Lonchura striata: one gene and its partners. The protein of the gene in region 1 binds, or shares a complex with, the protein of each later gene. Links are inferred from orthologs where the notes say so. Each region holds a gene or a part of one and is shown in the gene's direction. Other genes may lie near its edges.

The links.
Region 2: the proteins of GIPC1 (region 1) and PLXND1 are in contact, whole or in part, in a crystal structure (PDB 5V6T), measured with the Mus musculus proteins. The link is inferred for Lonchura striata from reciprocal best matches to the Homo sapiens genes GIPC1 and PLXND1. Residues at the interface, in NP_061241.1 of Mus musculus: His61, Glu141, Ala142, Leu143, Gly144, Leu145, Thr146, Ile147, Thr148, Asp149, Asn150, Gly151, Phe156, Lys158, Arg159, Arg190, His191, Tyr192, Glu193, Ala195, Arg196, Leu198, Lys199; in NP_080652.2 of Mus musculus: Glu1400, Met1889, Glu1893, Arg1899, Gln1902, Gln1904, His1905, Glu1908, Ile1918, Tyr1919, Cys1921, Tyr1922, Ser1923, Glu1924, Ala1925.
Region 3: the proteins of GIPC1 (region 1) and MYO6 are in contact, whole or in part, in a crystal structure (PDB 5V6E), measured with the Mus musculus proteins. The link is inferred for Lonchura striata from reciprocal best matches to the Homo sapiens genes GIPC1 and MYO6. Residues at the interface, in NP_061241.1 of Mus musculus: Glu273, Ser274, Tyr275, Met276, Gly277, Ile278, Arg279, Asp280, Glu282, Leu283, Thr286, Asp310, Phe311, Ala312, Pro314, Glu316; in NP_001034635.2 of Mus musculus: Ser1055, Lys1056, Trp1057, Lys1058, Tyr1059, Ala1060, Arg1084, Arg1085, Leu1086, Val1088, Tyr1089, Trp1092, Lys1093, Asn1096.

What each region holds. Positions count from the first base shown.
Region 1 is NC_134623.1:2,226,175-2,229,919, reverse strand, and holds the start of GIPC1 (PDZ domain-containing protein GIPC1), read left to right. Parts: upstream 1-1,269; coding exon 1,270-1,539; intron 1,540-3,286; coding exon 3,287-3,472; intron 3,473-3,745. UniProt on the Homo sapiens protein: May be involved in G protein-linked signaling.
Region 2 is NC_134614.1:23,986,471-23,990,215, reverse strand, and holds the start of PLXND1 (plexin-D1), read left to right. Parts: upstream 1-812; coding exon 813-2,156; intron 2,157-3,745. UniProt on the Homo sapiens protein: Cell surface receptor for SEMA4A and for class 3 semaphorins, such as SEMA3A, SEMA3C and SEMA3E. Plays an important role in cell-cell signaling, and in regulating the migration of a wide spectrum of cell types.
Region 3 is NC_134605.1:82,986,064-82,989,808, reverse strand, and holds the start of MYO6 (unconventional myosin-VI), read left to right. Parts: upstream 1-1,441; 5' UTR 1,442-1,530; intron 1,531-3,745. UniProt on the Homo sapiens protein: Myosins are actin-based motor molecules with ATPase activity. Unconventional myosins serve in intracellular movements. Myosin 6 is a reverse-direction motor protein that moves towards the minus-end of actin filaments.

The sequences.
Region 1 (3,745 bases):
CCCCGGGGACACCGGGACCCCCCAAAAACCACCCCGGGGACACCGGGACCCCCCAAAAACCACCCCGGGGACACCGGGACCCCCCAAAAAAACACCCCGGGGACACCGGGACCCCCCAAAAACACCCCGGGGACACCGGGACCCCCCCAAACCCCCCCGGACCTCTCAAAGCTCCACCGGACCCCCCCAAAACCCTTCCTAGAACCCCCAGACCCCCCCAAAATTCATTGGGACCCCCCCAAAACCCCTCTCAGAACCCCCGAAACCTCACCAGACCCCCCCAAAACCCCCCAAAACTCCGCTGAGACCCCCACTGATCCCCCCAAAACCCAAAAACTCCGCTGAGACCCCCACTGATCCCCCCAAAACCCCCCAAAACTCTGCTGAGACCCCCACCGATCCCCCCAAAACCCCCCAAAACTCCGCTGAGACCCCCACCGATCCCCCCAAAACCCAAAAACTCCGCTGAGACCCCCACTGATCCCCCCAAAACCCAAAAACTCCGCTGAGACCCCCACCGATCCCCCCAAAACCCAAAAACTCCGCTGAGACCCCCACCGATCCCCCCAAAACCCAAAAACTCCGCTGAGACCCCCACCGATCCCCCCAAAACCCAAAAACTCCGCTGAGACCCCCACCGATCCCCCCAAAACCCCTCAAAGCCCCCCCAAAACTCCGCTGAGACCCCCCCAGAAGCCCTCCTAGACCCCTCAAAGACCCCAAAACTCCGCTCAGACCCCCCAAAGCCCCCCAAAACCGCTTCTAGACACCCCCAGACCCCCTAAAACCCCTCAAAGACCCCCCAAAGCCCCCCAAAACCCCCTCCTAGACACCCCAAAGCCCCCCAAAACCCCTCAAAGCCCCTCCTAGACCCCCAAAACCCCTCCTAGACCCCCAAAACCCCTCCTAGACCCCCCAAAACCCCTCCTAGACCCCTCCAGCCCCCTCAAAGACCCCCCAAAGCCCCCCAAAACCACTTCTGGACACCCCCAGACCCCCTAAAACCCATCAAAGACCCCTCAAAGGCCCCCAAAACACCTCAAAGACCCCTCAAAGCCCCCCAAAACCCCTCCTAGACACCCCAAAGCCCCCCCAAACCCCCTCAAAGGCCCCTCCAGCCCCCTCAAAGACCCCCCAAAGCCCCCCAAAACCCCTCCTAGACACCCCAAAGCCCCCCCAAACCCCTCAAAGACCCCCCAAAGCCCCCCAAAACCCCTCCTAGACCCCCCAAAGCCCCCCCAAACCCCCTCCGAGCCCCCCCGGCCCCCCATGCCGCTGGGCCTGGGCCGCCGCAAGAAGCCGCCGCCGCTGGTGGAGAACGAGGAGGGGTCCGGGGGGCGCGGGGGGACCCCGGGGGAGCCCGGGGGGGCCCCGGGGGGGGTCCCGGGGGGCGCGGCCCCCGCCCCCGGCCTGCGGCCCCGCCTGGTGTTCCACACGCAGCTGGCGCACGGCAGCGCCACCGGCCGCGTCGAGGGATTCGGCAACGTGCGCGAGCTGTACGGCAAGATCGGCGAGGCCTTCGGCATCCCGCCCAGCGAGGTGAACTGGGAGCACTGGGAGGGACTGGGATGGGATTGGGATGGACTGGGATGGGATTGGGATGGACTGGGATAGACTGGGATGGGATTGGGATGGACTGGGATGGACTGGGAGGGACTGGGATGGGATTGGGATGGGATTCGGCAACGTGCGCGAGCTGTACGGCAAGATCGGCGAGGCCTTCGGCATCCCGCCCAGCGAGGTGAACTGGGAGCACTGGGAGGGACTGGGATGGACTGGGAATGGGATTGGGATGGACTGGGATGGGATTGGGATAGACTGGGATGGACTGGGATGGGATTGGGATGGACTGGGATGGACTGGGATGGACTGGGATGGGATTGGGATAGACTGGGATGGACTGGGATGGGATTGGGAGGGACTGGGATGGACTGGGATGGACTGGGATGGGACTGGGAGTGACTGGGATGGACTGGGAGGGACTGGGAGGGACTGGGATGACACGCTGACCACCCCAGTGTCCCCATGTCCCAGTGTCCCCTGGTGCTGTCCTGTCGCCAGGTGAGACCCCAGGTGACACTGAGGTGACACCCCAGGTGTGTCCCTGACCAGGTGACACCCCAGGTGCTCACCTGTCCCAGGTGCTGTTCTGCACGCTGAACACACCAATGTCCCCAATGTCCCCAATGTCCCCAATGTCTCCAGGTGACACCCAGGTGTGTCCCTGCCCCAGGTGACACCCCGGGTAACACCCCATGTGACACCCAGGTGACACTCAGGTGACACCCAGGTGTGTCCCTGCCCCAGGTGACATCTCAGGTGACACCCGGGTGACACTCAGGTGACACCAGGTGTGCTCACCTGTCCAGGTGCTGTTCTGCACGCTGAACACACCAATGTCCCCAATATCCCCAGGTGACACCCAGGGGTGTACCTGTCCCAGGTGACACTCAGATGACACCCAGGTGACATCCCAGGGGTGTCCCTGCCCAGGTGACACCAGGTGACAACCCAGGTGACCACCAGGTGTGCTCACCTGTCCAGGTGCTGTTCTGCACGCTGAACACACCAATGTCCCAATGTCCCCAGTGTCCCCAGGTGACACCCAGGGGTGTACCTGTCCCAGGTGACACTCAGGTGACACCAGGTGACTCCCAGGTGTGCTCACCTGTCCAGGTGCTGTTCTGCACGCTGAACACACCGCAGGTGGACATGGAGAAGCTGCTGGGCGGGCAGATCGGGCTGGGGGATTGTCCCCAGTGTCCCCAGGTGACACCCGGGGGTGTACCTGTCCCAGGTGACACTCAGGTGACCCCCAGGTGTGCTCACCTGTCCAGGTGTTGTTCTGCATGCTGAACACGCCAATGTCCCCAATGTCCCCAGGTGTGTCCCTGCCCAGGTGACACCCCAGGTGACACTCAGGTGACACCAGGTGACACCAGGTGTGCTCACCTGTCCCAGGTGCTGTTCTGCACGCTGAACACACCAATGTCCCCAATGTCCCCAATGTCCCCAGGTGACATCCAGGTGTGTCCCTGCCCCAGGTGACATCTCAGGTGATACTCAGGTGTGTCCCTGCCCCAGGTGACATCTCAGGTGATACTCAGGTGTGTCCCTGCCCAGGTGACACCCCAGGTGACATCCCAGGTGCTCACCTGTCCAGGTGCTGTTCTGCACGCTGAACACACCAATGTCCCAATGTCCCCAATGTCCCCAGGTGACATCCAGGTGTGTACCTGTCCCAGGTGACACTCGGGTGACCCCCAGGTGTGCTCACCTGTCCCAGGTGTTGTTCTGCACGCTGAACACGCCGCAGGTGGACATGGAGAAGCTGCTGGGCGGGCAGATCGGGCTGGAGGATTTCATCTTCGCGCACACGCGCGGCCGCCAGAAGGACGTGCAGGTGCTGAAGGACGAGGAGGCGCTGGGGCTGACCATCACCGACAACGGCGCCGGCTACGCCTTCATCAAGGTGAGACACACCTGGGACAGGTGAGACACACCTGGAGACACACCTGGACAGGTGAGACACACCTGAGATAGGTGAGACACAGCTGAGACAGGTGAGACACACCTGAGATAGGTGAGACACACCTGGGACACAGCTGAGATAGGTGAGACACACCTGAGATAGGTGAGACACACCTGGGCACACCTGGGCACAGCTGGGGCTGACCATCACCGACAACGGCGCCGGCTACGCCTTCATCAAGGTGAGACACACCTGGGACAGGTGAGACACACC
Region 2 (3,745 bases), on another chromosome or scaffold:
AGATGACATTCCCGCAGACGGGGAGGAAGGCAGCAGGAGTGAACCCGCTCAGGTGGAGCGATGCCACGGGATGGGGCTGTGGTTCAAGGGCTGTCCCCTACATCATCCCAGTGTGTATAATTTGGGAAATCACTTCTTTGGGTCTTTTTTTGTTAAAGAGGCGCCCGTTGGAGGGCAGAGGAGACGCGCAGTCCGAGCTGTACTTTTGACGAGTGGTGCGGGCAGAGCCGTTGCAGGGGTGGGGCCTCGTCCCCCGCCCGGTCCCCGGGGAGCGAGAGAGCGGGTATTGCGGGGGGATGTGTGGGCTGCGGGGGGTGCGAGGGGGCTCCGGGAGGGGCTGTTCCGGCTCGCCGCGCTGCTCCGCAGCTGGGAAAAGTGCTTCTTCCCCCGCCCCTTCCCCCCCGGCCTGTCCTGGTCGAAAACGCGAAGGAGGCAGAGCAGAGAAGGGGGACAGCCCGGAGCAGCCCCTCAGGCGGCGGGGGGACGCCCTGTCCGAAGCCCCTCTGAGCCGCTCGGTGCCGCCCAGCCGGCGGCGCGGGAGACACCGGTAACTTCACCGCACGCACATGACGGGCCCGCGGCACCGGGACGCGGTGAGTACCGGCGCGGGGGCGGGCGCGGGGGCGGGCGGAGGGCGGGGGCAGGGAAGGGGCGCGGCCGCGCGCCCCGCCGCCCCCCGCCGCCCCCCGCCGCGGCCGCCACTTCCCGCGGGCGTCGCTCGGCGGCGGGCGCTGCCTCCGCAGGAAGCGGCCCCGCGCCCGCCCCTCCCGCGCCCGGCGACGGGCACATGCACTGTGCGGCGCGGCGGCGGGATGGCTCCGGCTCCGCTCCCGGCTCCGGCGGCAGGCGCCGAGCCGCGGCCCCCCGCGCTGCTGCCGCTGCTGCTGCCGCTGCTGCCGCTGCTCCTGCCCGGCCGAGCCGCCGGCCTGGAGGTGCAGCGCAAGTTCCTCTCGCCCACCCTCACCAACAACTTTGCGCTGGACGGCCCCGGCTCCCGCGTTTACCTGGCGGCCGTCAACCGGCTGTTCCAGCTGTCGGGGGGCGAGCTGGCACTGGAGGCGGAGGCGGCGGTGGGGCCGGTGCTGGACAGCCCGCTGTGCCACGCACCGCAGCTGCCGCAGGCCTCCTGTGAGCACCCCAGGGTGCTCACCAACAACTACAACAAGATCCTGCAGCCGGACCCGGAGCAGGGCGTCCTTGTCGTCTGCGGCTCCATCTACCAGGGCCTCTGCCAGCTGCGCAGCATGGCAAACATCTCGGCAGTGGCCGTGCGCTTCCCGCCGGGCGGGAGCGACTCGGTCGCTGTCTTCCCTAGCATGCTGAACGTCGCGGCCAACCACCCCAACGCCTCCACCGTGGGGCTGGTGCTGCGCCGCGGCGGTGGCGGCGGGGCGCGGCTGCTGGTGGCCGCCACCTACACCGGCTTCGGCAGCCCCTTCTTCCCCCGCAACCGCAGCCTGGAGGACCACCGCTTCGAGAACACGCCCGAGATCGCTATCCGTGCCCTCAACGCCCGCGGCGACCTGGCCAAGCTTTTCACCTTCGACATCAACCCCTCCGACGACAACATCCTCAAGATCAAGCAGGGCGACAAGGCGCGGCACAAGCTCAGCTTCGTCCGCGCCTTCTTGCAGCACGGGGCCGCGCCGCCCGCCCGCCGCCCGTACGCCTACCTGGCGCTCAACACTGAGGCTAACGCGGGCGACAAGGAGAGCCCGGCGCACAGCCTGCTGGCCCGCATCTGCCTGGGCGAGCCAGCCGAGGCCACCCTCAACGGCAGCGGCGAGACCAAGAAGCTGACCGAGTCCTACATCCAGCTGGGGCTGCGCTGCGGCGGCGCCGCCGACGCCTTCACCCGCCTCGTCTCCGTCTTCCCGGCGCGGGCGGCTTGGCGCAGCCCCGCTGCCCCTCACGGCCCGGCCCTGGCCCCGCCGCCCCCCGAGGAGCTGCTCTTCGGCGTCTTCGAGCGGGCCGGAGCCGGCGGCGGCCGGGGCCGGCCGCAGTCCGCGCTCTGCGTCTTCCGCTTCGCCGAGATCGAGGAGACGATCCGGGCCGCCCGCAACTCCTGCTTCGTCAGCCCGGCCGCCGGCATGGTTACCGTGCTGGACAGCGTGGTGCAGGGCACCGGCCCGGCCTGCGAGAAAAGAAATATACAGGTACGGCGGGCGGCGGACACCTGCCGGGGCGAGGGGGCGCGGGGAGCCGGTAGCCGGCGGTGGACAGCGGCCGCATCTCGTGTCCCGTCCCGCGGCCGCTGCTGCCTCCACCTCTCCCGAGCTGGAGCGCATCCCCCGCGTCCCCCGGGCGGGCGGCTGAGCCTCATACCCCGCTGCCCTCCCCGGAGACCCTCTCCCCTGCTCGGGGACAGCATCGTTCTCCTAACCTGGTTGCCGGTGCCCCACTTCTCGTGGGTGCCCTGCGCGCCCGGATGTCTGTGGGCATCGCCAGCTCTATGTCCCGTCCCGCGGCGCACAGCCCTGCCAGGGACGGCACACAGGCAGCCTTGGCTCCCCGAGTTCGTGGCAGAAGTTTGCTGTTGTCACAATTTGTTACTGAGTGGCCGTAAATGTTAGCGCGAGACACAGTCGCCTGTTTCCCTTTTCACTAAAAATATATCATGCTTGGGAAAAAAGAGAGGGGAAAAGGGCTGCTTTAACGCTGCATTTTTACCTTCCTTTGGGACGAGTGCACAGCTCAGCTCCATCAAAGATTGTGAAAACATCTGTTTGATTTCAGAGGCGAGATCGAGCATTTGGGCTTGGGCTTCCCTGTGCAATGCCAGTGGCAAAGAGAGAAAGGTTTCCCATGGTAACCGAAGTGTTTAGTGTGGCATCTCTACTCTGTGGTAAAATATGTACTCTTAATGCACTTGGTTCATAGACCTACTCTAGCAAAGTTGAACAGTTTTTCCCTGGTGACAAAGTACAAGCTGCCTGACAGCCAGCAAATCTAGTAGTTGGAGCTAATTCCACAAAGACTGGGTGTGTTAAACACTGGGAGCTCAGTCCTGACATCTTGGCATGGTCACGGCTCTCAGAGGACTCACTGGGAGTCAGGAATCCTATTTACAGGGTGTGAAGGCACCCGTAGTTCTTGTTGGCTGTGGCTGATGCTCAGCATCCTTGCGGAGCAGCCCCTCAGCCCCGGGTGGGATTGAGCTCTCTGCCAAGGCGGGTCAAGCAGCAGCATCGGGGCTAGGGCTGCTGGAGGCACTTGAGGTGAACAAACAGCCTGGCCATAACTGAAACGCAGAGGCAGATGTACCCATCACCCCTAAGCTTCCCCAGGACTCCAGGACTGCTGTGGAGATACAGTTTTTTCTAACTTCTGTTCAGTAAAGAAAATAATCATGACTAACACCAGTCTACTGATGTTGAAAGTATCAAATGCTGTATCTAGTAAGGTATTTAGACAGCTAATTAATGAGTGACTCAAAGGAGACTACGCAAAGATGAGATTTCACTCCATCTTTGGTCCCAGCTTGTCACACTGTTCCACTGTAATGTGTGTTCTTGGTAGCACCTTTCCAAGTACTACCTGGGTAGGCAGGGAGGGGGACCAGGAGTGTGTTGTCACCATAAAGGCTGAGGAGGATGTTATGTTCTTGAAGGGATGAGCAACAGGAAATGAGGGTCAGGGGAATGAGCTAAAATAACTGAGCACTGCCAAGCCATTGGGAGTCAGAGGGAACCCTCTGTGTTTGCAACCATGGCAAGATCAGGTTGCAAGAAAATTTGTTAATGTA
Region 3 (3,745 bases), on another chromosome or scaffold:
AAGTTATACAATGTTTTGATTGTCCAAATTGTCAAACATTCTAAATTATGTCAAGTGAAGATGCAACCATCAAATTTACCTTAATACTTGACAGTCATGTGGAATGTTTTAAAGACCAAAACAAGTTCACAGCACATTTCAGGAGTTGTAGGAATGTTAATCTGGACGCAGGATTGAACTCCACCCGTACTCCACACAGGATGCAGGATTACTCATGCATCTAATGTACTGCCATTTTCCTTCCATGTGTACATCCACTCTGATCCTTGACAGAACCCCCTGAGTTTCTCTAGGTTGCCCCTAAAGAAGCCCCTGGGATTTCTCTTTGTCCTCTGAAAGAGGCTAAGGCGTTGTTACGACAATCATGTCTACATGGGCAGCTATGGCTTGAAGAAATCTATGTAAATTATTTATTAGCTAGTGGCTGTACCCACAACGTCCCTGGTGTTGTCCAAACACTCAAAAAGGATGCAGTGAAACACACCTTGCTTAAAGAAAGGTAGCTGGGGCTGCAAAATCAACGAAAACACAAGATTTTGAAGTATTAACTGGTTTGTTTCACTTTGTCAGCAAAAGACGTATGAACGAACCATCGGGTGGAGAGCGAGGAGGCTTTGCACGTACAGTCGGGGTCATTGTGCTGCTCATGAACCATTGTGGCGAGAGAAGCACGGTGCTACGGGAAAGCTGACAAACCAGCTGGCGACGCCAGGAATGAATCGCGGTAAAGCCAAGGGACAGGGAGGTGACGCAGAGCTGCGGCTCGGGAGGGGTGGCTGTGGGTAGCCCCAGCGGTGTGACGCCCCGGCCGAGCATGATGCAACGATGCAATGCCGGGCCGCTGTCCCCGAGCCGCAGCAGCCGCAGGGATGGATGGCTGGGTGAGGCACACGCCGGGGCAATCCCGCGGAGCCGAGGCTGCCCCGGCTGCCCTGCAGGAGTGCAGGGGGCACGGGGCTGGCAGGCCACGCTGTTCTGCCACGCAGCAGCGGTGCCACCATCGCTGCTCCCAGCCCTGGAACCTCCGCCCAGGCGGGACCCTGGGGACACGGCAGGGACGGCACGGGGCCGGGGCGAGCCTGGGAGAGGGACCGGGCTGACACAGTCTGACTTCCAAGCTTTGTGCAGCAGGAGAGCCGCCACCTGCTCGGCACCTTTCTTGATGGGGCGACGGTCAGGAATGACCCCTTATGCAACCGCGTCGGTAAAAAATAATGGAAGAGGCCCAGCTCACAAAGTAGCCGTGGCCAGCCCCTCAGCACCACCGTGCGCGGAGGGCGCGGGCTGCGGGCTCGGCGCGGGGCCGGGGCTCCCGCCGGGCAGCCCGAGCGGAGAGAAGGCCGGGCCGGCCTCCGAGCCGCCGCCCCGCCGGCGCTGCCCCCGCCCCCGGCCGGCCCTGTGGCGGTGACGTGCCGGGCCGGGCCGGGCCGTGCCGGGCGGCGGGGGCGGCGCAGAGCGGCGCGGCGGCGGCGGCGGCAGGGTCGGCAGCGAGCGGGGCGCCGAGCGCAGCAGCAGCACCTCCAGCAGCAGGTAAGGACGCGGCCTCTCCGCCTCCGCCGCCCCTCCTACCCGCGGCGGGAGGCGCCGGCCCCCGGCCCGCCGCGGCTGCCCCCGCCGCCCCTCTCGCCCGGGCAGGTGCGGGCCGGGCCCTCGGCGGGGAGCGCTCCGGCCAGCGCACCTCGGGACCGACCTGTGGAACCGCAGCTCAGAATCCCTCCGGAGTGCGCGTTACTTCCTTAAATTAGCTGTCATGGAAATTCTTTCCTTTGTGGGTTTGTTTGGGTTTTTTTAGTATCATCCTCTGTGAAATTCCATCCCTGCTGGGCTCCCCTCCTTGCTTCAGAAACACTTCTGTGCTGGTGGGATCGTCCTTGTAAGTGAAAATAAAATTTTTATAGCCTTTACTGACCAGACACAGTACGACTGGTAGTTCAGTGGAAAAACGTCTTTTCAGTGGAAAAACGTCTTCTGGAGTATTTCTGCTTGAAGTACTTTTTGCAGGCTGCGGTTTGGAGAGCAGCGTGTGTCACCGTGATGTACAACTAAAATCCAATACCCCGTTCCTCTGTCTTGCATCCGTTTCTGAATAGGAAAGCTTGAAACGGTCTCCTTAATGGTCTAGAATACGACCTGCAGTGCAGCAAATGTACTGTTGGTGCTTGCCCGATACTTGGCTCCAATTTACTAGTTTTGAACTAGTAAATGCCACCAAGGCCTGTAGGATGGAGGTAGCTGAACTAATAGCTGGCTGCTTCTGTAAAAGGATGGTTGTCATCTGTTGTTTCAGCGAATACTGCTGACTGCCAGCCCTGTTTTTACAAAGGTGCAGAGAAGTAGTACGTCGGGACTTGTGCCCTGTGGTGCTCCCGGAGGGAACAGACCTTTGAGGCGACCTAATTCCTCACAGTTCAGTTGGCATCGCCGGGCTGCGGGGCGGCCTATGGACTGGGTTCACAGCCATCCGAGTACAAAGGTTGGCTGCGGGACTGAGTCTTCCTTCTTTTACAAGTGTGACAAATTAACAGGGTGGAGATGAACTCGCGAGTTAAATGTCATCTGCGTTTTTTTAACTTTATTTTTTAGCGGAAAAAAAAAAAAGCGCCTAATAAAAATAGAAATATTTTAATTTTTTAAATGTTAATTATGAAAATTTAAAAGTATAGGCAAATGTCTTGCAGTATTTGTTTAAATATAATAAAACTGCTAACACACAAGTTAACTCTTAAATGTATGGTTTATAAAATAATTGCAAAAGAAAGATCTCAGTGTTGTTAAGATGGGAGAGTAACTATCAGAATTATCAGAGCACAAGTCCCAAACTTTTGTGTTGTTGCTTTTAATAACATAGAAATTAAGATTTTGCTTGACTGTATTTTTAGTGGATGGGTTTTTAATGTGTCTCAGTTAATAAACTATTTAGTGAAGGCACAGTTATGCCTTTGACTATACAACTATAAAGCCAGCAATGCAAATATAAAGGCAGTAAACTTTCCTGCGAGGCTGAATAGCTTTCTGAATGAAAACCATGTCAGTATTGGCAGAAATTCTAAGTTGAACTAATTTCCCCACCCCCATTATTTCTAGTCAGATTCCTCTATAATCTGCACTAAGTACTGTGTCTTTCAGCCTCCGGCATTGCCATGTGCTTTTGTTTTGATAATAGGTCAGTATTTTGACCCATTAACAATAATGTTCTCATAAGGAAGGTGAAATAGTGCTTCCTTGTGCCTGGTCCACCAGGGTGGAAGTGGCTTTGTGACCCAATCTAACCTTTGCATTTTTGTGGTATTTGATAACACTGGTCTGAGGAAAGATTTCAGGTATTAGAAATTTTGACAGTCTTATGAGTGATGTGGCAAAGTTGAGTATGGACTAACTTTTTATCAGAACAAAATGTGAAAGCATATGATTAAGCTGGCAGGTTCAAAATGAACAAAAGTGGTGTGTTTTTGGTTTTGACCCAATGTGTGGTTAGTTAAGCTTTGGAAATCCTTTCTGAAGCATGTGGATATTGAAAGTTTACAGGGACTTTAAAAGCAGCCGGACAAATTAATGGAAGAAAAACCCACTAAGGCTAACTTGTGTGGAGTACCTGAAGTAGCTCAGGGTGTCACCAAGCTGAGCACAGAGCTGGGATAATAGGTTGGGAAAGTACTTTCAATTATTTATCAAATTTATATATTAATTTCAGGCATTAACATAGTGCAGACAACAGATCTGCTGTCTGACCCAGTAGGACTGCTCT